3 linked regions of the Nothobranchius furzeri genome follow. The protein of the gene in region 2 interacts with the protein of the main gene of each other region in a biochemical or structural test. Links are inferred from orthologs where the notes say so. Each region holds a gene or a part of one and is shown on either strand. Other genes may lie near its edges.

Region 1 (7,106 bases), on a different chromosome or scaffold from region 2:
ATGGTCAGGCGCGGAAACGAGGTCAAGGGACTGTGATCAGGCTGGAAGGAAGGCTGGAAGATTTAAATCAAATCAAATCTAATCAACTTTATAAAGTGCTTTCACATGCCCAAAGCAGACAAACAAAGCGCTGTACACCAATAAAAAACACAGCAATAAAACAGACATATATAACCATTAAAATACAATAAGAATTCCCAAGTACAGTTTTGCAGTCCATATCAGCCCTGTTTCCAGAATCAGATCCAGAAACATTCAAAGTGACGCTGCCCACCCAAACCCAACTTCAATGTCCAAACGCCATCGAGAACAAATGGGTTTTTAGTCGGCTTTTTAAGCTCTCAAGTGATTGGGCCTGCTTCATATCGGCTGGCAGCTCATTCCAGAGCCTTGGTCCTAGCACTGAGGAGGCACGGCTCCCACGAGACTTCAAGCTGTACCTGAGCACACTTACTAGTCTCTGGTCAGCTGACCTAAGGGAACGCACCGGGACATGCCGGTGGATGATGTCTGACAGGTATTTAGGTGCCCCCCCAGTTTAACGCCTTAAACACAAACAGGATTACCTTAAACCTGATGCGATGGGAGACAGGGAGCCAATGCAAGGCACGTAGGACTGGTGTAATATGTTCAGACCTCCTGGTACATGTTAACAACCGAGCTGCAGAGTTCTAAACTGCCTGGAGGCGTGCTATTGGAGCTTGCCCAAGCCCCGCATATAGCGAGTTGCAATAATCCAGCCTGCAGGTAACAAAGGCATGGATTACAGTTTCCAAATGGCTACGTGACAGAAATGGCTTAATCTTCATTATCTGCCAGAGATGAAAATAGCGAGATCTCACGATTCCATTTACTTGAGAATCAAATCTGAGCTCTGCGTCCATGTTTCCCATCATTCATTATTAGACATGTTATTAAAACACTTTGGATTTAAACATATTGTCCATTCAACAAAATATGATTATGAAAACTTGTAAACTTATGTAGTCATTGGAGCCAGGGAAGATAAACTTCATTCAACTCTTGTCGTGATTGGCGCTATATAAATAAACTTGAATTGAATTCAAAGAGGATAGATAAGAAGTCCTGCATCCTCTGCAGCCATGAGGACTCGTGACGTACATAGACTTCATGTCGGCACCACGGTGTCAGATAGACCTGTATGAAGAAGTTTGGTCTGTAAGTTAAAAGTTCATTTCTGGTCATTTAGATGAAATATTTGGCCATTTGGTACGCTGCAAAGAGCAAACATGAAAACGGCTCACTTTACCTAAACATCAGATACCTTTTAAAAATCTTCTATACCTGTGTTTCTGACCTGACCCTAATCCCCACGTTGTGTTCCAGGTTCTGCCTCCAGTACCAAAGAGGGGAATGCCTCCAGCCTTCAGCCTGAGTGGATCTCTGCCTGAAACGACACCACATCCTAGTGAAACCCAGTTTGAGTCCAACAAAGCTCAGAGACTCAGAACCAACCCAACTCAAAAGATCAATGGGGATTTGTTTAGACCTTTAGAATTGGAATGTCCCGATCTGACCCAGGTGGAGACCAGGAGCCAGTCTCTGCCTTACCTGGGCACCAAAGTGGAGGAGGAGGAGGCATACTCCAACCAGTTAAGCAGCCTCTCCCTTCAAGCACCTTCTTCTCCAAAAAGGGTCACCTGTCAAACCTACTCCCTCCACGCCCCCGAAGGAGATCTGAGAAGTTTCATGTCAGAGCAGCAGATCAGAAACCAGGACCAGCTGAGGTCTAACCCTCTGTACGAGCCCTCCAGGGTACCTGGAGAAAGTGCAGCTCAGCGGCGGGGTGTCATGTACGCTGAGGTTTCTAAGGGTTCAGCACCAACTACGCAGACAGAAGACACCTATGAGCTGGTCCCTGGAGAGGCCACTGAAGTCCAAAGCAACACCTACGAGTCTCTGGAGGACATGAAGACTAAGAAACCCAAAAGCACCTGGGGCAAAAATGTAAGATGCAACGTCATGTGCTGGTTTTTATTACAGAGAGTAAATAAATAATCTGACGTTTTTTTTTAAATAATTTTGTCTCTACAGAACATAAAATGGAGGAACTTCTTAAAGAAATAAATATATCTTGTGGAGTTTCTCAAGTTCGGGGCTTCCTCCTGACGTCAGGAGACTTCATTCAGAATCTCTAAGAGATGAAAATAAAAACAGGCCTCCTGGAGTGAGATTCATACCTGCATGATCAATTATGGGGTGAAAAGAGGGGGATACTGACCACCACAAATTACAGCAGGCCCAGAAAATCCTCCCTGTTATCTTATAGCAGGGGTGGTCCCGATAGCCAGCATGATTTAGTTGTTTCCCTGCTTCAACACACCTGGTTGTAATCAGCAGGTGATTAACAGGCTTTTACGGAGCCTGAGGAGCTTCTGAACAGGTGATTCAACCACTGAATTATGTAGAGTATAGAGGAACAACGAAAACATGGATACCGCCCTTTGGAGACCAGGATTGAGAACCAATGTCTTAGAAGATTAAACTCTTGTGGATCAAATGACATTATCCTACATGTTCACATGTATAGGCTATGCTGGGCTACTATAGTGAGCTTAATATCTGTATTGTTTATTTTGGGACTGAAGGACATGGGACACTAGCCCCAGAAGCCCTTCAACCCCTCCATCCTAGAAGTGTTGAGATTTAGTTATGCAAAATGGTAAATGGCCTGTGGCGCCTTCTAGGATTCTAAAACCCCCCAAGGCACTTTACAACGAACCAGCCATTCACCCATGCACACACACATTCACATGCTGGTGATGGTGAGCTACAATGTAGCCACAGCTGCCCTGCTACAGCGAGATGTGCAGGTCACTTTAACTAACTGAAGAGATAAACACTCAGGTTAGCATCATTTTTATACTTTATTCATAGCCTAATTATACTGTTATTAATGAATGTATTGATGCCTAAAAATAAATAACTTTTAAGTTTGAAATCACTTTATTTATTTGACACTTGGTGAGCATACAGTATTCTACATTTAATGAAAAAATAATGTATTTATGAGTTTTAAGGCCTCCAAATTAATGTCTTCCTCAATATGCGCGTTCCCGTAACAATGCATGCAAATGTCTCGGCTGGCATTTTCGGTACACACACCTCCAGGTTGCGCTCCGTCCTGTGGCCGCTGGGGGGCAGAGTATCCGCTGCATTCCGCTGTCAGGATTCCAGCGAAGAAGAAACTATCTCCCATCTAATTCCCGTCGGACAGTAAAATCTCGTCTTTTCTGTTTTAACAAAATCATTTTTGGACCCGCTCTCCAGTGTTGGGACGATGGGCACCAGAGATGATGAATACGACTATTTATTCAAAGGTAAAGCGGTGTTTGTTGTTATTTGGCAGGCTAGGCGGTGGAGCTAACGGAACCGCCGTCAGCCTTTTGTGTTCGGGTCTCAACAAACTTCTCTGACGTGAGTCAGCGCGTTGAATCGGTTTTCCGAACTCCCGACGAACCATGTCTGACTCGTTCGGGTAGGAAATTGTTCATCCGGTGCTTGTTGTTCGTGCTAAAGCGCATCTTGGTTCGGGATAGCGGTTAGCTCGGGTTAGCCTGCCGACAGCCAGCGGGACACACCTAGACCTAACATGATCAGATCCTCCTGATGCGATCCGGACCGATCTGCCAGCAGCACCGTTAACGGGCCCGAGACGACGTTTAACAGCAAATTCAGAGCCCGAGGCAGAACCGGGCTGGTCCAGCTGAGGTGAAACTGGACGAAAAACTCTTAACTGCTTTATTGATCAGGTTATTAATATCAGATTATTGATCAGGTTGTTCATCTGTGGGTTATTTATATTCCACTCTCACGTGAGCTTCCGGTTTCGTATTCTCACATTTCTTCCACTAACCTCCTGTTTTCCCGAGAGTTTTAACTTCATTTATCAGTTTATAAAAACACCAAATCCTGAAAGGAGCAGAATCACCAAAGAGAACATAAAATAATCAAGTATCATTAAAATAACTCCTGAATAAGAAGTAAAACGGTTGTATTTGTCTTTTTCAACCCCCCCCCCAAGCGATTTATTTTAGTGCATCTTAGTTAAAATTGAAATATTCTGCTTAAAACTGTCAATGTTGTCAGGTAAAAACTCTGCACTGCATTCAAATTTAAATCTGCCATCGCTATTGGCTGAGAAGTACACTATGATGTCAGCTGGTACATTATGAGATCACAATGTTGTTGGCCTTGTTCGAGTTGAGCAGCGCCTCGCTTGGAAAACAGATGAAAGCAGACGGATGCAGCAGGGGGAGTGGCTGAAAGCCGGCGTTTAATGCCTGATTCATGCTCCTCCATCTGCGTCAGTGCTGAGACACGCAACGTCAGAGAGCTCCGCGAGGACGGACGGAGTCGAGCTCTCTTTTCTAAACATCCGTCAGTCGAGACGGAGAACGCAAGCTTGTGATTGGTCAGGACGCCGCTGTTGTCTACAGCGCCGCCATTGCGCCCTCAAAAACATAAAGAGAGCCGAGGATAACTAGTGGCAGACACGGAGCAGCTTGAAGAATACCTCGCGAAAAAACTCTAAAATATGAATGTTTAATTCCCCAGTGACAGGAGGAGTGAAAAGATGCGCAGCAAGCGTTTTATTAGTGGATGGAAATGACAGGAAACGTGGGTTTAGAGGTGGCGAGCGCATGAAGAGGTGGAGGAGAATGAGAGACAAATTTGTCTGTTAAAAAGTCTCTTATATACAAAAAAACATAATATAAACACACCATCTTGGACCGGATGCATGACAGGATACCACAGAACAGCCTACGTCCTCTGTTGTCCTGCTGGGGAATTGCTTTGCAACACTCTCCAGGAGACGGAGAAGTATGAGAGCAAAACGCTTCCGTCAATCCGTGCGTGTCTGTCCTTTGCGGAGCTGACGGAGAAGCATGAACCAGGCTTAAGATGATCAAATTTCCCTACATGTAGCTCGCAGGTGATGATGGATAAAGATATCACATTCATTCATACTTGTTTAATTTGTAATTAAAGTTCTGGTGCTTGTTAGCAACTGAAACACATCCTGACAATATCATGTAATGTTGACATGTGCATATGAAGTAATAATAAGTAAAGGTTAGCAGCTGTAGAGTTTTAGTGTGCTCATAGGAAATGTGACAATAAAAACACAAATCACATTTCTCTTTATGGCCTATATAGTTGTCATCTTAGATCAGGTGAGAGCGAGGCGTTTCCTGTCACGCCCTAGGTTTTGCAACCGGCGGAGAGCAACTGCAGCGCCTTGCTCCAAAATCTGCGGCCGCCTTGATCTCACGAGGTTATCGTTGCCTACGTAGGCATGACATCAGAGCAAGTCGGCGTCAAGTCAGACACAAATCTAACCAGCATGCACTGCGCGCCGATCACCGGTGATCGAATCTGCGCAGAACTGGATCATCTTGAACACGGCCAATGTGAGCCTGTGTGTGTGTGTGTTAGCGGCTCTGCCCTTTCGGTCTGCCAGGCAGCAGCATTTTTTAAACAGGAAATGGGAGTGGAGTGAGACTCTGGTAGGGGTGACTTGCTCTTTAACATGGCACCTGTCAGTGGACGGGGCCAAGGGGGTGGGACTCCTAACATCCTGATAAAACGATCCCGCTCCTATGTATTTTAGACCAGATTTTTATGGTTATATGTTACAAAGCAACAACTGGGAATTATTTCATTCATTTTCAACAACATTTTGATGGATATTTCCTGAAATTTATGGTAAAAACTTCAAATTGTCTCTTTAAAAAATATTGAGTAAAAAACGCCCAGAGACAAATAAAAAAATATAAATAAATTACGGGTGCACCAATTGCAGTTTTTGGCTGATCACTGTTCACCAATCTTGAAAAAAATAAAAACAGACTTGCTGATACTGATTTTTGTCTCAACTAAAAGCAGATTATGTCAATGTTTCAATTTCCTTTTATTGTGAAAACCAACATGAATACTCATGAAACAATACCATTTTCAACTGGACATGAGGTAATGCTCTCAAGTAGGGATGCAATGATACCACTTTTTTCCAAAACGATACGATGTCGATACTTGGATCTGAGTACTCCCCGATCCCGATTACCAATACCGATACTTCTACCAAACAAAAAAAATGCGATGATTTGGAATACAGATTTGATTTTCAACAGGAAAAGTTTGTGAAGTAGATAAAAAGTAAAATATATGAATGGAAATCATCACAAAACTAAAATATTAGGTGAACAGAAATGACAAGTTACAGGGAAGCCATTTTCAAGCAACTGCATTGGTATCAGTTCCTGGTATCGGCTAACTTTTACCAATACTGGTATCGGTATTGGTACCAGTATCGTATCGGTGCATCCCTACTTTCAAGCATAAATGAACGTCTTTAGCATTGCTGTTTGAACAACAAAATCATATTTGTTCCTTTAGACTTTCATTTTTCAAAATTTGAAAACAAAACTTTTGTACCCGTTTTCACACGCATGTTCAAAAATTATTCTATAGCAATGATTGGCTTGAAAAGAACCCGAGATTGGGGCCGATAGATTGGTGCACCCCTAAAATAAATGGCTATAATAGAAACTTTTGTACCAGAGCCAGAAAGGTCTAGAACCGCTCCCGGGTTCTGGATGCTTGATGTTGTTCTAAAGGTTCTTTAAGGATAGTGGGTCAGGGAGCACCAATAATCCTGCATCATAAATAAAATAGACATCCATTAGTTTCTCCTCATTCTTGTTACTTGGACTTTAAACTGTTTTTATCTTTATTTCTGCGGTTTTCTAGATTCAGGATGTCTGATGTGTTTCCTTTGTCCTGCTTTGCCTCAGTGGTCCTCATCGGTGATTCGGGTGTAGGAAAGAGTAACCTGCTGTCTCGCTTCACTCGTAACGAGTTCAACCTGGAGAGTAAGAGCACCATCGGGGTGGAGTTCGCCACGCGTAGCATCCAGGTGGACGGCAAGACGGTGAAGGCTCAGATTTGGGACACAGCTGGACAAGAACGTTACCGGGCCATCACATCAGCGTGAGTACAGAACCACAGGTCTGGTTGGGTTGGACCAGCACTGATGTCACACGGAATCGGTTTTAATTTACTATGACAGGATTGGTTATGTT
Region 2 (7,006 bases):
TCTCTGTAATTCCCAGCCTTTGCTTCTGCAGGAATGGTGCAGCCGCAGCCTGATGGTCCGATGCAGTGGGACATGTCAGGAGAGGACTGCGGGGGGGTCCTCAGGGTCCCACCAGAGTTCGCTGGTAATGAAGTGGTGACCAGATTGTTGTGTGACAACCAGCAGCTTCGAGGTACCTAAAAACACACGACGGTCACGCTTGTGTGTATTACCAGATGCTCAGCGGGGCTTTTAGGTTTCCGTGTGTCTGATTTAGCATTTTCAGAAGTCGTTTAAGTTTAGAGTTATCGAGGTAAAAGAACAAAGTAAATTCAAACAGTAATTTCAGCCTTTACTGTAACGGTGATTGGATGCAGGAGCGGTGTCCACGACAGGCTGAGTTTATCAGGATCAACACATGCTGCTTTTATGCAGTTCCAGACTTTCCTAGATGACAATCCAATCCTTGAGTTTTTCAGTCTGCTTCTTGTTGTCGGCACAGCTCTGAATCTGCTCTTCTAGCTGTCCGTAGCAACATTTCTTTAGCTGCTGATGCTAAATCGGCAGCGGTTTTGGTTCTACTAGCCCTCTCAGCAGCCTCGACACAATCAACCACCCACTTCCTATCAGAATAGTATGTTGGCATTTGAGGTAGGAGTCAGTGAATCCTGCCTTGCTCAGCTTCAGAGGGTTCTGAGTGCTGCAGCTCGCCTTTTAAGTGGCAATCAAAGGTTTTCCCTCATTTTAGCCTCCCTGCACTGGCTGCTTGTTCATTTTAGGATTGATTTTAAAATGATTTTATTTGCTTTTAAGGGCTTAAATGGCCCGGCCCCTCCCTATCTGTCTGAGCTACTGCATCGCTACACGCCCGCTCGTTCGCTCAGGTCAGCTGATCACAGGAGTAGCTACTCCTCAACACGGATCAGTCACCCACACATTCACACACTGGTGGTGATGAGCTACGATGTAGCCACAGCTGCCCTGGGGCGCACTGACAGAGGTGAGGCTGCCGAGCACAGGCGCCACCGGTTCCTCCGACCACCACCAGCAGGCAAGGGGGGTTTAGTGTCTTGCCCAAGGACACAACAGCAGCATTCTCTGGTCAGAGTCGGGATCAAGATGGTGAGATTTCATCCATCATGACGTGTCAGAAAGACAGTCTGAGATGTGTGTGGAAATTGTGGGCTCATCCGGCGGGAATGACGGATAGAGCTGGGTGTCGTCAGCATAGTAGTGGTAGGAGAAGCCATGTGATTGAATGATCTCACCCAGTGAGGTGGTGTATATGGCAAAGAGGTGCTAGTACAGAGCCCTGGGGGACTCCTGTGGCAACATGGTGAACAGCAGAAGACTGTCCTAGCCACGATACACTGAATGATGGTCCTGTCAGGTACGATTCAAACCAGGAGTGTGCTTTCCCTGTGATGCCCACGCTAGAGGGTGTGGACTAAAGGAAGCCATGGTTCACAGTGTCCGATGCAGCCGATTGGTCAAGCAGGATAAGTACTGAGGATTTGGCAGTCGCTGTTAGTCACTGCTAACAGAGCCGTTTCAGTGGAGTGGCCATCTTTTAACCCGGGTTGGTAGAAGAAGGGTCAAGCAGACAGTTTTGTGACAGGTGTTCTAAGATCGGCTTGAAGGCCGCCCTTTCAATGATTTTAGACAGGAATGGGAGGAGAGATAGCTCGGTAGTTCTCCACATGATCTGGAGGAAGGGAAGGTCTTTTAGCAGCAGTTTAACCTGAGCGTGCTTGAGAGAGGTGGGAAGTGAGGTCAGTGAAGCGTTCATCACACGTGTGACTGCAGCAGCTACTGTAGGAGCAACAGATCGGAGCAGCTTTGTCGGAATGGGGTCGAGTGGGCCTGTCGTAGGGCCTAACCCTTGGACACACTTTTCTCAGAGGATGTCCAAATCTGTCTGCCTGTTTAACCGAAGACGGGAAACACGACTGTGAAGTTGTCTAGACCACACCGACATGGCTGTCTGAAAACCTTACTAATGAAAAGACTCCCGTTTATTTTGTCGCTGGGCTGCACTGACTTTCAACTCCCTCCAAATATTTCTGTGGGGTTGAGATCTGGAGACTGGCCAAGCCCCTCCTTCGTTACCCGGACGGTGTTTGGAATCACGGTCATGCTGGAAGACCCAGCCGCGTTTCATCTTCAGTGCCCTTGCTGGTGGAAGGAGGTTTTCACTCCAGACATGACCATACACCGCCCCCTTCTGTCCTTTACACGGGTCAGTCGTCCGGGTCCCTGTGCAGACAAACAGCCCAAAGCATTATGATTCCACCCCATGCTTTACAGTAGATGTGGTGTTCTTCAGCATTCTTTCTCCTCCAAACACGCCGAGTAGAGTTCTTACCGAAACGTTCTAATGTGGTTTCATCAGACCACCTGACATTCTCCCAGTCCTCTTCTGGACCATCCAGATGCTCTCGAGCAGACTTCAGCTGGGCCTGCACGTGTACTGGCTTCAGCAGGGGGACACGTCCCTGGTGGCCTTGTTCACTAGGTCCCCCGTCTAGTTCTGGGATTTAACTCTCCGTTATTGTGATTGTTCTGACCCCACGGGGGGAGATCTTGCATGGAGCCCCTGATGGAGGGAGATTATCAGTGGTCTTGTTTGTCTTCCACTTTCTAATAGTTGCTCTCGCAGGTGATTTCTTCACCAAGCTGCCGCGTACCTGTTGCAGATACCAGAGTTGGGACCCACAGTTTGGTTCTGACGTCCTTTGACAGCTCTTTGGTCTTAGCCATAGTGGTCTGGAGTGTGACTGAGGTTGTGGACAGGTGTCTTTACACTGGTAACCAGTTCTAACAGGTGCCATTTGTACAGGTAACGGGTGGAGGACAGAGGAAGTTTTAATAATTGTTCTGTTTCCTTTCATCCATCTGTTCCTCAGAGGCTCTGCGGCGGAGTAACCAGGCCCTGCGTCAGCGCTGTGAGGAGATGGAGGGATGGCAGCGTAAAACCAGGGAGGAGCGGGAGTTTCTCAGCCTTCGTTTCCAGGAGGCCCGGGCCCTGGTGGAGAGACTGGCCCAGGAGAACCACTCCTTACAGAGCATGATGAACGGACCGGCTTCCTCCTCTAACCTCTCCGGCAGCTCCAGCCAGACTGAAGACCTACAGGGACGCCCGTCCAGAAACGGGCTGGTGGACGGACCACAGGTTAGCACGCTCCAGCGAGAGAGAGGAAGCTGTAAGAAAACGTTAAAACCTTCAGCCCGACTCCCTCTGAGTCGTTGAGTAAAGTGCTTTAGCGCACGTCCAAGTGTCTTTTTGTGGGAGCTGGTCCTCAAAGCGTCTCAGGCCCTTTTCAGCAGCTCATCTCAGGGCTAGCTCATTTAACGGCTAGCTCGTCTCAGGGCTAGCTCGTCTCGGGGCTAGCTCGTCTCGGGGCTAGCTCGTCTCGGGGCTAGCTCGTCTCGGGGCTAGCTCGTCTTCTGGCTAGCTCATCGAGCTCCGAGGCTCTAAAACGCTGAAAGTGAAGACGGACGTGAAGCTCGCCGAAGACGAGTTGTAATCTTCTCTCACAAAATAACTTTTGCTGCTGTTGGAAAAGCAGCCTTGCCTAACCGTGACCGTGTGTTGGCATCAGAATGTGTTTAAAAGGAACGGACCGTCCGTGGTACGTAACAAACGGGATTAGAAACAGCGTGTTAGCCTCGTTCACTTGCATTCATTGTGTCTTCATTCTGGGGACCGTGGTCCAGAAGTAGAAGGGTTAGGGTTAGGCTACCGACGGGGAGATGTGGTTGTTCAGTCAGGATGGAGACAGTAAAAACTGCAGCTGTCAACAGAAATACAGCAAACGTTTGTAATCAGTACGCTGCTCTTGAGTATCAGGATGCTTCTGTGAGGCTGAAGCAGCCGATGGACTTGGTGCTCTTCTAATCGGAAGTCTGGTTTATGTTTCCAGACTCTGGACCAGTGGGAGAGGAAACGGGTCGATGAATCAGAACAGCAGACTCAGACCACCCCGCTCCGCAGCCTGGTGAGCTGGTCCCGTGTGCCGTAGCCCCGCCCACTCTCTGACATCCCCACCTCATATTATGGTCTGTAGAATAATGTCAGACTGCTTCAAACAGCAGCAAACATGAATATTATTTAAAACACAGTTTTATGACTTGACTCAGCTAAATAAACGAGGTCCCGCCCATAAAACAGACCGACGGGACGATGGCGGTAGGACCACGAGTGAAATGGAATGGGTCCTGAACCAGTGAAATGGGCTGAAGTTGGTTTTAGATGACATGTGTGCTTCCCCCTTCAGCCTGTGGAGGGCGCCAACGAGTTCCTGCAGCTGCTGAAGAGCCACAAAGAGAAAACAGAGGAAGGGACGAGAGAACTGAAGAGGAAGACCGAAGAGCTGGAGAGGAGAAATGAGGAGCTGATGAAGAAGATGGCGGAGGGAGAGGAAGACAAAGAGCAAATGCGGCGTTGCATCGACCATCTTCGATCCAAACTGCTGCAGGCGCAGGTGACGCTGTGATCTGAGCATGCTCAGACTTCTCTACGTAGTTTTATTTATGTTTTACATTACGCTGTAACTCCGCTCCGGTCCTGGAGGTCCGGTATCCGGCACGTTTTGGCTTTAACTCTGCTCCAGCACAGCCCCTGATGAGCTGCTGCACAGGTGAATCAGGGAAACCACTAAAACGTGCTGCATACCGGACCTCCAGGACTGGAGTTGAATACCCCTGTTCTAGCACCTCCCCTATGTGTGCGTGTGTTTTACAGGCTAGCGGCGGCGCCGAGGAAACCGTTCTGCTTCGCTCTGAGGCGCAGCATTCCTCCGACTGGTACGACACCGTCCACCGTCCCGCGTCCCAAACCCGCTCTGACCCGAACTCTAGCTGCTGGATAACTCTGATGCAGATTACAGATGCTAGCATGCTACTTCTCTCTTCTGCTTAACTAAAACCTTTAAAACTCCTTCTCCTCCTCCTCCTCTTCCTCCTCCTTTTCCTCCTCCTCTTCCTCCTCCTCTTCCTCCCCCTCCTCCTCTTCCTCCTCCTCTTCCTCCCCCTCCTCCTCCTCCTCTTCCTCCTCCTCTTCCTCCCCCTCCTCCTCTTCCTCCTCCTCTTCCTCCCCCTCTTCCTCCTCCTTTTCCTCTTCCTCCTCCTCTTCCTCCTCCTCTTCCTCCTCCTCCTCCTCTTCCTCCTCCTCCTCCTCCTCCTTTTCCTCCTCCTCTTCCTCCCCCCCCCCCCTCCTCCTCCGTCTCTTTTTGTCCCTTTTCCAGTTTGGGCTTGGCTAAGCTCACAGAGCAGCTCCAGGCCACTCAGGGCAGGTGAGCCCGCAGCTCCTCTTCCTCTCGCTGTCTTCGTGCCGTCCTGCTCGTCGTTCTGTGTTTTGCTGTTGCTCGTCCATCACGCGTGCTGCAGATTGTTCTGGTTGATGAACCGCTCTAATGACAGTCGCTTGAGTGTGTCGCTGCAGCTGGAAGTGACGCACGAGTTTCCTCTGCAGGTACCGGGAGTTGGAGGAGAAGCTGGACTACCTGCAGAAGAGCTCGGCCCAGCGAGACAGAACCGAAGCTCTGCTCAAGCAGAAGGACAAGGACTGTGCCCAGGTAGGACAGTCTGAGTGTGGAGCTTCAGCTGGCGGCTCTGGTTTGGTGGTTTAAGCTGCGTCTGCTTTTGCAGCTCTCCAAAGACTGTGAGACTCTGAAGGTGCAGGTAACCTCCCTGTTAGGAGAACTGAACGAGAGGCAGAGCTGCCTGGAGAAAAGCGATCACGAGCGCAAAATTCTGGAGGAGAAGTGAGCAGCTGCATCGTGTCAGCATCCCTGTAAACACGGAGCCTTCTCTGATGCTTGGGCTGTGGGTTTTGCTCCTGTTTGCTCCAGGCTGGTCAGCAAGGTGAAGTCCTTGCAGGCAGCAGAGCGGGAGCTGGAGCAGCTGAAGAAGCAGCACCATGTGGCCAAGGACAAGCTGCTGCTGCAGGTCCAGAGCTTGGAGCAGGCGCTGAAGACGGAGAGACACGTCGTGACCGAGGAGAGGTGGCTTCCCGCTGCGATAGCGACATTCCCATCAGAAAGGGCGTGTGTGTGGAGAAGCTGAGCGTTTCTGTTTCCTGTCCCCTCAGGAAGAAGCTGACGCAGCTGCAGCACGCCTACACCTGCTTGTTTAGAGACTACGATGCCAAACTGAAGAATGAGGTGAATAAAGTCGCAGACACACGCCCAGCGTTGCTTCTGTTGTGCCGACTCTGGTCTCTCCTACAGGAGGGAGATCTCAGCAGCCGACTGGAGGAGGCGGAGCGAGCGCTGGCGCTCAAGCAGGACACCATCGATAAACTGAAGGAGGAGGTGGAGCAGCAGAAAGGCTCGCTAGAAACCGTCCCTGTCCTCACTGCACAGGTCGGGTCACTCTCTCTCCTCCTGTCTGCACCGCTTTACTTCACCAGGCTCCGCCCTGGTGTCTACACACTCCAGCTGTTTCAGGTCCTTACTCTGGCTTTACAGGACGGAAGGGACACCGTCACCATTGGTTTTAAAGTCACAGATTAAAGGGATCCTGTGCAGGTCAGCTTGCCTTTAGCACCCCCTAGTGCCTGAAACGCGTCAGTGTAACAGCTGGAACGTCTCCTCAGCCTTCGTTAGCGTCTGCAGGAGCGGTTCCTCGCTAAAGCCAACCACTCAGCTGAGCTGGTGGTCTAAAACGTGCCGAAGCAGCTGCAGCGCCAGCAGCTCAGCTCTACTGCACCAGCAGCCCGGATCGACGTTCTGAGGTGATGAGTGACGTTTTGGGCGGTGGGGTGGGAGAGACATTCGTTAGGCCTGTGAGGGTCGTTTAGCGCATACTGGCTCAAGGAGATGAGGTGAAGGTGAAAAGGTTGCTCTCTGCTGCGGCGCCTGCAGTTGTGCTAAATGCTGCAGCCCGTCTGCCAGCGGGACTCGGCGCTCTGAGCACATCACCCCCTTCTGCCTGCTGCTTTTAGGATGGATTTAAATGTTTAAACGGACAGGCACCTCCTTACCTACCAGAGATTCTGAACTAGCATGGTCCTACGAGACGTTTG
Region 3 (7,106 bases), on a different chromosome or scaffold from region 2:
TCTAGTTGAACATGAGAATTTAATTTATTTATTATTATTGCTTTTTTTTTGTGGTTTTTTTTTTGAAGGCATTGTAACTGTTTTGTTGTTTACATTTTGATGATGAGGATGTAAACCTGAGGGGGTAGGGCTAAATAAGTATACACTTCTCCCTACTCCTTTTCAAACAATTGCGTGGAATGATTTTATGAAATGTTGGTGAATGTATATGTTTGAAATAAAGTGAACTGAACTGAACTGATTCTGGCCCCACACACATCAAGGGACACACTCTAGACCTTGTTTTTACCCTGAGTCTAAATGCTGACAGTGTTTGTCCTGAGGACGTTTATAATTCAGATCACCATGCATTTTCTTTAGCTTGTCAGTTTCTGCTTCCCCACCTCCTGCTGGCCGTGTGGTTAGTTCTCGTTTTCTTAATGAGAGCACAGCTAGCAATTTATTTGCTGCTTTTGATCAACCCTGTTCTTCTGATAATGACCCAGATTCCTTAACTTCTCAGTTTAACGAGCACTGCCTCTCCATTCTGTACAACATCTGTCCTGTCAGAACCAGATCAGTTCCTGCAGTGAACCCTACTCCCTGGTTTAATGACAGCCTTCGCAGCCCAACGCGCCAATGCAGAAAAATTGAGTGATTGTGGAAGAAAACCCATCTCCACGTCCATCTGCTGCACTTAAAGGATCTTCTGACATCCTTTAACTCTGCAGTCAGAGACGCTAGGGTTTCCTATTTTTCCAACCTGGTGTCCCAGAGCAAATGGAACCCCAAGGTGCTGTTTAACACCATCAGCAGTATCATCTCTCCTGCCTCTCCTACAGCCTCCATCCACTCTGTGGCAGACTGTGAGAACTTTCTTTCTTTGTGGACAAAGTCAAGAAGGTTAGATCTAGCATCTCTCCTTCAGCCTTAACGCCGCCTCTCCCGACTCCAACCAGGCCCATCATCCTAGATAGCTTTGCTCCTGTTTCTTTGCCTGAGTTAACCAAACTTGTTAAGTCTATGAAGACCTCTGCATGCCCCCTCAACATCTTACCCTCATCTTTGTTTAAAAGTGCTTTTCAGTCCATCGGTCCCAACGTGCTCTCTATAATTAATGCTTCTCTGGTTACTGATCAGGCCCCTGCTTACTTTAAGAACGCTTTAATCCACCCGCTTCTTAAAAAAACGAGTCTCGACCCCTCTCTCCATAGGAGCTTCATACCCATCTCTAAACTTCCGTTCATCTCCAAGATCTTGGAAAAGGTTGTGGCTAAACAGCTCACAGCTGCTCTTGATGAACATAACATCTATGATTACTTACAGTCAGGTTTTCATAGAGCTCATTCTACTGAAACAGCTCTTCTTAGGGTCTCTAATGACCTTCTGACTCACAGTGATGCAGAGGACTGTTCTGTTCTGGTCCTGCTGGACCTGACTGCAACCTTTGACACCGTTGGCCATCACCTGCTACTGGAGAGGCTGAGAGACTGGGTAGGCCTATCAGGAATTGCTCTGGAGTGGTTCTCCTCTTATCTCTCTGAGCGCTCCTTTTCTGTGGCCGTCTCCAAGTTTCGGTCCTCCACCACCTCCCTTACCCATGGTGTCCCACAAGGGTCTGTGCTGGGGCCTCTGCTCTTCCTCCTCTATCTGCTTCGTCTTAAGCACATCCTGAGCTCCTTCAAAGGAATCTCCTACCATCTTTATGCAGATGACATCCAACTGTACATCTCCTTTAAGCTCCATGAGCTGCTGCTGTTACACACCTGCTTAGACTCTATCAAAACCTGGATGGCTGGGAGCTTTCTACAGCTGAATGAAGATAAGACTGAGATCCTTATCTGTGCCCCAGACAAGCTGGTTCCCAAAGTCAGAGACTCTCTTGGTCAGCTTGCTTCTCACACCAAACCTTCCGTCAGGAATCTTGGCGTGACCTTTGACCCAGCTCTCACCCTGCATTCTCATGTAAGTTCTTGTTCGCTCTTCCTTCTTCCATCTCAGGAACATTGCTAAGCTGAGTCCCATTCTGTCCCGCTCTGAACTTGAGACTGTTCTCCACACCTTCATCTCCTCACGCTTAGACTACTGCAACTCTCTTTTCACGTGCCTGAGCAAAACCTCCCTGAACCGTCTACAGGTGGTTCAGAATGCCTGTGCTCAGCTTCTGACCAAGTCCTCCAAACACACCCACATCACCTCGCTTCATTGGCTGCCAGTCAACTTCAGGGTTCATTTCAAGATCCTGGTTCTGGTCTATAGGGTCATGGACAAGCACCTTCTTACATTGGTGATCTTCTTAGTCCCTACACCCCCAGCAGGTCCCTGAAGTCCAGTAATCAAAGCCTACTGGTTGTGCAGCGCACCAGGCTAAAGACCAAAGGTGACAGATCATTTGCTGCTGTGGCCCCCAGACTCTGGAACTCTCTCCCCCTGAGCCTGAGATCAGTGGACTCAGTGGACTCCTTTAAAAAACAGCTGAAGACTCACCTGTTCAAGCTGGCTTTTGTACGACCTTTTTCACCACTCTCTCTTTATTCTGCTCTCCCCACCTATTCCACCTTCCTCAGGATCCACTGATTTCCCACTTTCCTATTCACTCTCTCTCTTTCTTAACATTTTTTAAATCGCAATTGTCTATTTTTTGCTCATTTTAAATGTATTTGTTACCATTTTCTAAATTCTTTTTCATGCTTTTACATTTTTTGTTTTTGTGAAGCGCCTTGTGACTTTTATCTTGAGAGGCATTATAGAAATTATATTTTCTTCTTCTTGTTCTTCTTCAAAGATGTGATAGATCATCTTAAGAAATGTTCTTTATAAAAGTGGCGATTTTACAATAAAGTTGACAATAACTTTTGATTTTGTACCTCATTATCAAACTTCTGAAAACAAAATAAATATAAAAAAATGTGTCTGTGGTTCTACTTGAAGACCAGTTGAGTAAAATTCAGTTAGCAAATTTGGCCACTAGGTGGAGGCACCGTTACATGTAAATATGAATTTCAGACGAATTAATTTATACTAAATGAAGACACATATTTAAGTTATATAACATAGTTTTTTTCAACTGCATGTATTAGAGTTTCGTTTTTAATGCCTTTTTTAGTTATTTCAAACGCTTCGCAAACATGAATCTATTAACCAGCCTGGTGTATTAATCTGTTATCAACTTGTAAGGCTGTTTGTAGTCTTAAGCATTAGTTTCGCTCATCGGTTTGTTTCGCTTTATTACTAGTAGGACGTCGAGGAAACACCGGAAATACTGAGAAAGAATATTTAAGTGAGTTTTAGGATAACTTATTGACACTTTTAATTTTATATTTGTAATTGGAATGCATAATGAGGTTACTTTACGTCGTGGTTAATGAGTTTTTAAGCTATCATTAAGCTGCTTTATGATGCGTCTTGGCATGTCTTGCTAACTCAACTCGGGGCTGTGTTTTGAAAGTTACGGGTGGTTAATTCATCGGGTCAGTGCTTTAGTTTGAACGCTGCGTTTACTTACACACACATATATATAGTAGTGTAGCTAAATGTTAACTACATTGTTATGAGTGTAAACGAGCAAAGTCGGAAGTTTTTATGTCATTTGTATCAGAAATGGCAACCGCGCCTGAAACCTCGCTTCAGATGAGCTCGTCGGATCTCATCAAAAAGAAGCCGCTGGACTACGGAGGATTTGGAGAAGTTTATTTGTGCTACCATGTCACCCTCGGCCATGTGGCGCTGAAGACTGTGTACACAGGTCCTCTACGAAGCGAGTAAGTTATTATGTTTGTTACAGAGGGAGAACATTCCCGGGTATTCCCCTCCTTGTAACTTAAATCATGTGTCCAGATTGCTGGTTACAGACAGCTGTGGCTGGACTTTTTAATTTAGCATTAAGGGAGTAGGAAGTAATACCCTGATGTGAAAATAGACAACCGATGGTAAAATAAAGTGCACTGTTTTCCTTTTATTATCACGAATCTTTGTCAGGGTCAGATATTTTATTCCACAAGAGGATGCCTCCCATCTATTTCGTAGATCAGACCTGCACAGGTGCATGTTTTGCAAAGTCTTTTCAGCATCTGAGACACATCAAAGCTTCTAAATGCAACAATCTCAAATTCTAAACTGAATTTAAGTAAATCTTTTGACAGTGATCTTATACTAATCTTCTCTGCTTCTCTCTGCGTGTGCAAGTATGAGAGTCTCAAACTCAAAGTTTGTGAAGCATCTATAATCATTCAAGAAAAGTGTGATTGTGTGACTTTTACTGAACTGTGCAGTTTGTTTACCAACAAAGAAAACAATGTCAGTATTAGAATTCTTAATTTACAACTCAGAAATGTGTGTGACATTATCAACTGTTATCAAACAATTAAATAAAAATAAAACTTTACGTATTTTTGCTATGATGAATAAAAATAAATTTAGATCAAACAGGACATTTACCACAGCATATCAGATGATCATGCTTGTTCTTCTTGTTGTTTCTATTTTATTATATATATATATATATATATATATATATATATATATATATATATATATACACCATACTCATCAGAGACAGTAAAAGGTCGCTGCTGGAGGAAGGGAATATCATGGCAAGCCTCAATCATGAGCGTGTGGTAAAGCTGCTGGGTGTGATCATGGAGGATAGCGACTGCTCTCTCGTTATGGAGCTCCTGCCCAGAGGCAACCTGCTGGTCGTGCTGAAGAAGGTCAGTCACTCTAAAAATGCCCACTTGGCTTAAAAAAGCATTTTTTTTCAACTGTTTAATAGTGAAACCTGTGTTAGGCTTCAATAGATAAGGATGTGCTTTTATAAACTGTAATATTAATACACTAAATGATTGTTTTTGTAGGTCAATGTGCCGATGTCTGTCAAGGGAAGGATCATCTTAGAGATTTTGGATGGGATGGTGTACCTCACAGAGAGGTCCATCGTCCACAAGGACATCAAGCCTGAAAACATCTTAGTGGATAATGATTTTCACATCAAGGTACACGATAATCTAACACCTATTACTTTTTATTTTATTTACACTCATTATAAAAGCTTTATTCTCTGCGTTATTTAGATCGCCGACCTCGGCCTAGCAACCTGCAAGATGTGGAGCAAGCTCACGAAACAGGAGTCTCAAAGAAGGAGTCGTAACGAGCCATCGGCTGGACTGAGAGGTGCTGGGACGCTGAGCTACATGGCGCCAGAGCACCTGAAGAGCATCCATGCCCGCTCTACTGAGAAGTCTGACGTGTACAGCTTTGCCATCGTGGTCTGGGTCATTCTCACTGGGCAAGAACCATATGAAAGTGAGCTTGAAAACATAAACCTTGTTTAATTTTATTTTTGTGCAAACATTAAAACAATCTGTCTCATTTCCAGACGCCAGGAGTGAAGAACACATGAGCCAGTGTGTCATCAACGGTGACCGACCAGCAGATCATCTCATTCCTGAAGACACGCCTGAAGAGATCATTCAGCTCATGAAGAGGTGCTGGGATCACAATCGTGAACAAAGACCAACATTTGAAGGTTTGGCATTCAGAATTGCATTTCTTAGGAAAAAGAGATGGTATCATTTTTCTTAGATTTTTTCCCCCCATGCCTAACAGGAACACATCATGTTGAGTCTCACTCAGACTGAAACTCAGATTATTATTATTATTATTATCATTATTATTATATTATTAATGTTAGATGGATCTTTTCATCCTCCCCTCTCATCTGTTTGCTCCTTTCTTGCAGAGGCTTATCGCTCTTTCCTTCCTTTGTACATGGAAAAGCTTGAACCATATGTAGAGAAAGATGTTTGCACATTAAGGGTGAGTATAGTACGGTATAATTGTGGTGGTTTTGGGAGGAACTCACTAACCCACCAAGTGATTTTAAAAGCTAAATACTGATTTTAAGTAAGGATTCAATGTTATTTTGTTACAGGAAACATACAATGGCCCAGAAGAACTGGTTGAAAGCATGAAATCATTATCAGTGACCAACGAATGTAGTCTGGCATGTGAACACGGTAGGTCCGACTCTTTACTTTGATGCTCTGTTTTACGTTTAATGTTTGAAATTTTGCAGGATGCCTAAACCCTTGAGCACCATTTCTGATTTAAGATTTTCTGATGTTTTTAGACCACCCAGCTCCTTTGATGAGCTCAGATAAAAGTATATCCATGATACCAGTTGAGGCCAGTATCGAGGACCTGCATAACATCCAGTACGACCCATACAGAGAGTTTATTCAAGCGGACGCAAGAGAAATGACCAACCGACCAGAGCTGGAGGAGAAACTGGACCGGGAGCTTCAGTACCACCAATATGGCAGCTACAACATGCACCCTGAAGCTTCCAACTACTTTCTCAAAAATCCCTCAAACCCTTTCTTGCCTAACTATGGCAGTGTCACAGATAACATTGCAAGAGGGCCAGCACAGGAAGTGTCCTCTGTTCATTCATGGACTAAAGGAGAAATGGTGCAGCCCACCAGCCCGGAGGAGGGTTTTGATCGCCTCAATTCTGGACTCAACCATTCCATTAACTCCTCCTCGGCTTATGAACCCCATCTGCACATGTCTGCTAGCACACCCTCTCTGCCACAGTTTAACCAGCATCATCCACCCCCCCAGTTTGACCGCCAGAAGTCCTGCTTAACTTATCCGGTGTCTGACACCTGTGTCCCTGATGTAACCACGGGGTGTTATCTGAACAATACAAAGTATGGCTCACAACAGGACTCAGGTACATGGAAATGTGTTTTTAGCATTCATCAGTTGTTTACTCTGACTGTTATGCAATAGAATGAAAAATTTGTTGGTTGTGTGTCTTTGTTGTTGTTTTTTCCAGCTTCCCTTTTTATTCAGAACGCCAGCGGGATCCAGATTGGAAGCAACAACACGATGAGCATCAGGAGTCATGGGGCTTCTAGTTTGTCTTCCCGGTTTAATAATGGGTCCAGTTCCTCCTCGATCCAAGAAAGCATTTTTAAATGCGGTAAACATTTATCATGTTTTATTAATGTAACACTGAGTACGGTTCAGCCACCCAAGTTAAAAAAATAACAGATTAGCATCGAGACTGAATTATTAGCATATTCAGTCTCGATATGCTAAGCTAAGTGATAAAAAGGAATTAT

What was found.
Region 1: the proteins of ikbkg (region 2) and rab11a are reported together in a solved structure, tested with the Homo sapiens proteins (2 studies listed by BioGRID, with this or other methods). The link is inferred for Nothobranchius furzeri from reciprocal best matches to the Homo sapiens genes IKBKG and RAB11A.
Region 3: the proteins of ikbkg (region 2) and ripk1l form a complex in vitro, tested with the Homo sapiens proteins (4 studies listed by BioGRID). The link is inferred for Nothobranchius furzeri from reciprocal best matches to the Homo sapiens genes IKBKG and RIPK1.

The regions. Positions count from the first base shown.
Region 1 is NC_091749.1:66,766,857-66,773,962, reverse strand, and holds the start of rab11a (ras-related protein Rab-11A), read left to right. Parts: upstream 1-3,176; 5' UTR 3,177-3,301; coding exon 3,302-3,341; intron 3,342-6,818; coding exon 6,819-7,014; intron 7,015-7,106. Other genes in the region: SH2 domain-containing protein 7, read left to right, coding at 1,348-2,019. UniProt on the Homo sapiens protein: The small GTPases Rab are key regulators of intracellular membrane trafficking, from the formation of transport vesicles to their fusion with membranes.
Region 2 is NC_091755.1:44,545,103-44,552,108, forward strand, and holds part of ikbkg (NF-kappa-B essential modulator), read left to right. Parts: intron 1-31; 5' UTR 32-33; coding exon 34-172; intron 173-2,885; coding exon 2,886-3,151; intron 3,152-3,902; coding exon 3,903-3,977; intron 3,978-4,256; coding exon 4,257-4,463; intron 4,464-4,723; coding exon 4,724-4,785; intron 4,786-5,225; coding exon 5,226-5,273; intron 5,274-5,452; coding exon 5,453-5,555; intron 5,556-5,628; coding exon 5,629-5,744; intron 5,745-5,831; coding exon 5,832-5,984; intron 5,985-6,070; coding exon 6,071-6,344; intron 6,345-7,006. UniProt on the Homo sapiens protein: Regulatory subunit of the IKK core complex which phosphorylates inhibitors of NF-kappa-B thus leading to the dissociation of the inhibitor/NF-kappa-B complex and ultimately the degradation of the inhibitor.
Region 3 is NC_091751.1:51,502,481-51,509,586, forward strand, and holds the start of ripk1l (receptor-interacting serine/threonine-protein kinase 1), read left to right. Parts: upstream 1-3,351; 5' UTR 3,352-3,561; coding exon 3,562-3,740; intron 3,741-4,531; coding exon 4,532-4,688; intron 4,689-4,832; coding exon 4,833-4,970; intron 4,971-5,048; coding exon 5,049-5,280; intron 5,281-5,353; coding exon 5,354-5,503; intron 5,504-5,716; coding exon 5,717-5,793; intron 5,794-5,908; coding exon 5,909-5,993; intron 5,994-6,106; coding exon 6,107-6,712; intron 6,713-6,817; coding exon 6,818-6,964; intron 6,965-7,106. UniProt on the Homo sapiens protein: Serine-threonine kinase which is a key regulator of TNF-mediated apoptosis, necroptosis and inflammatory pathways.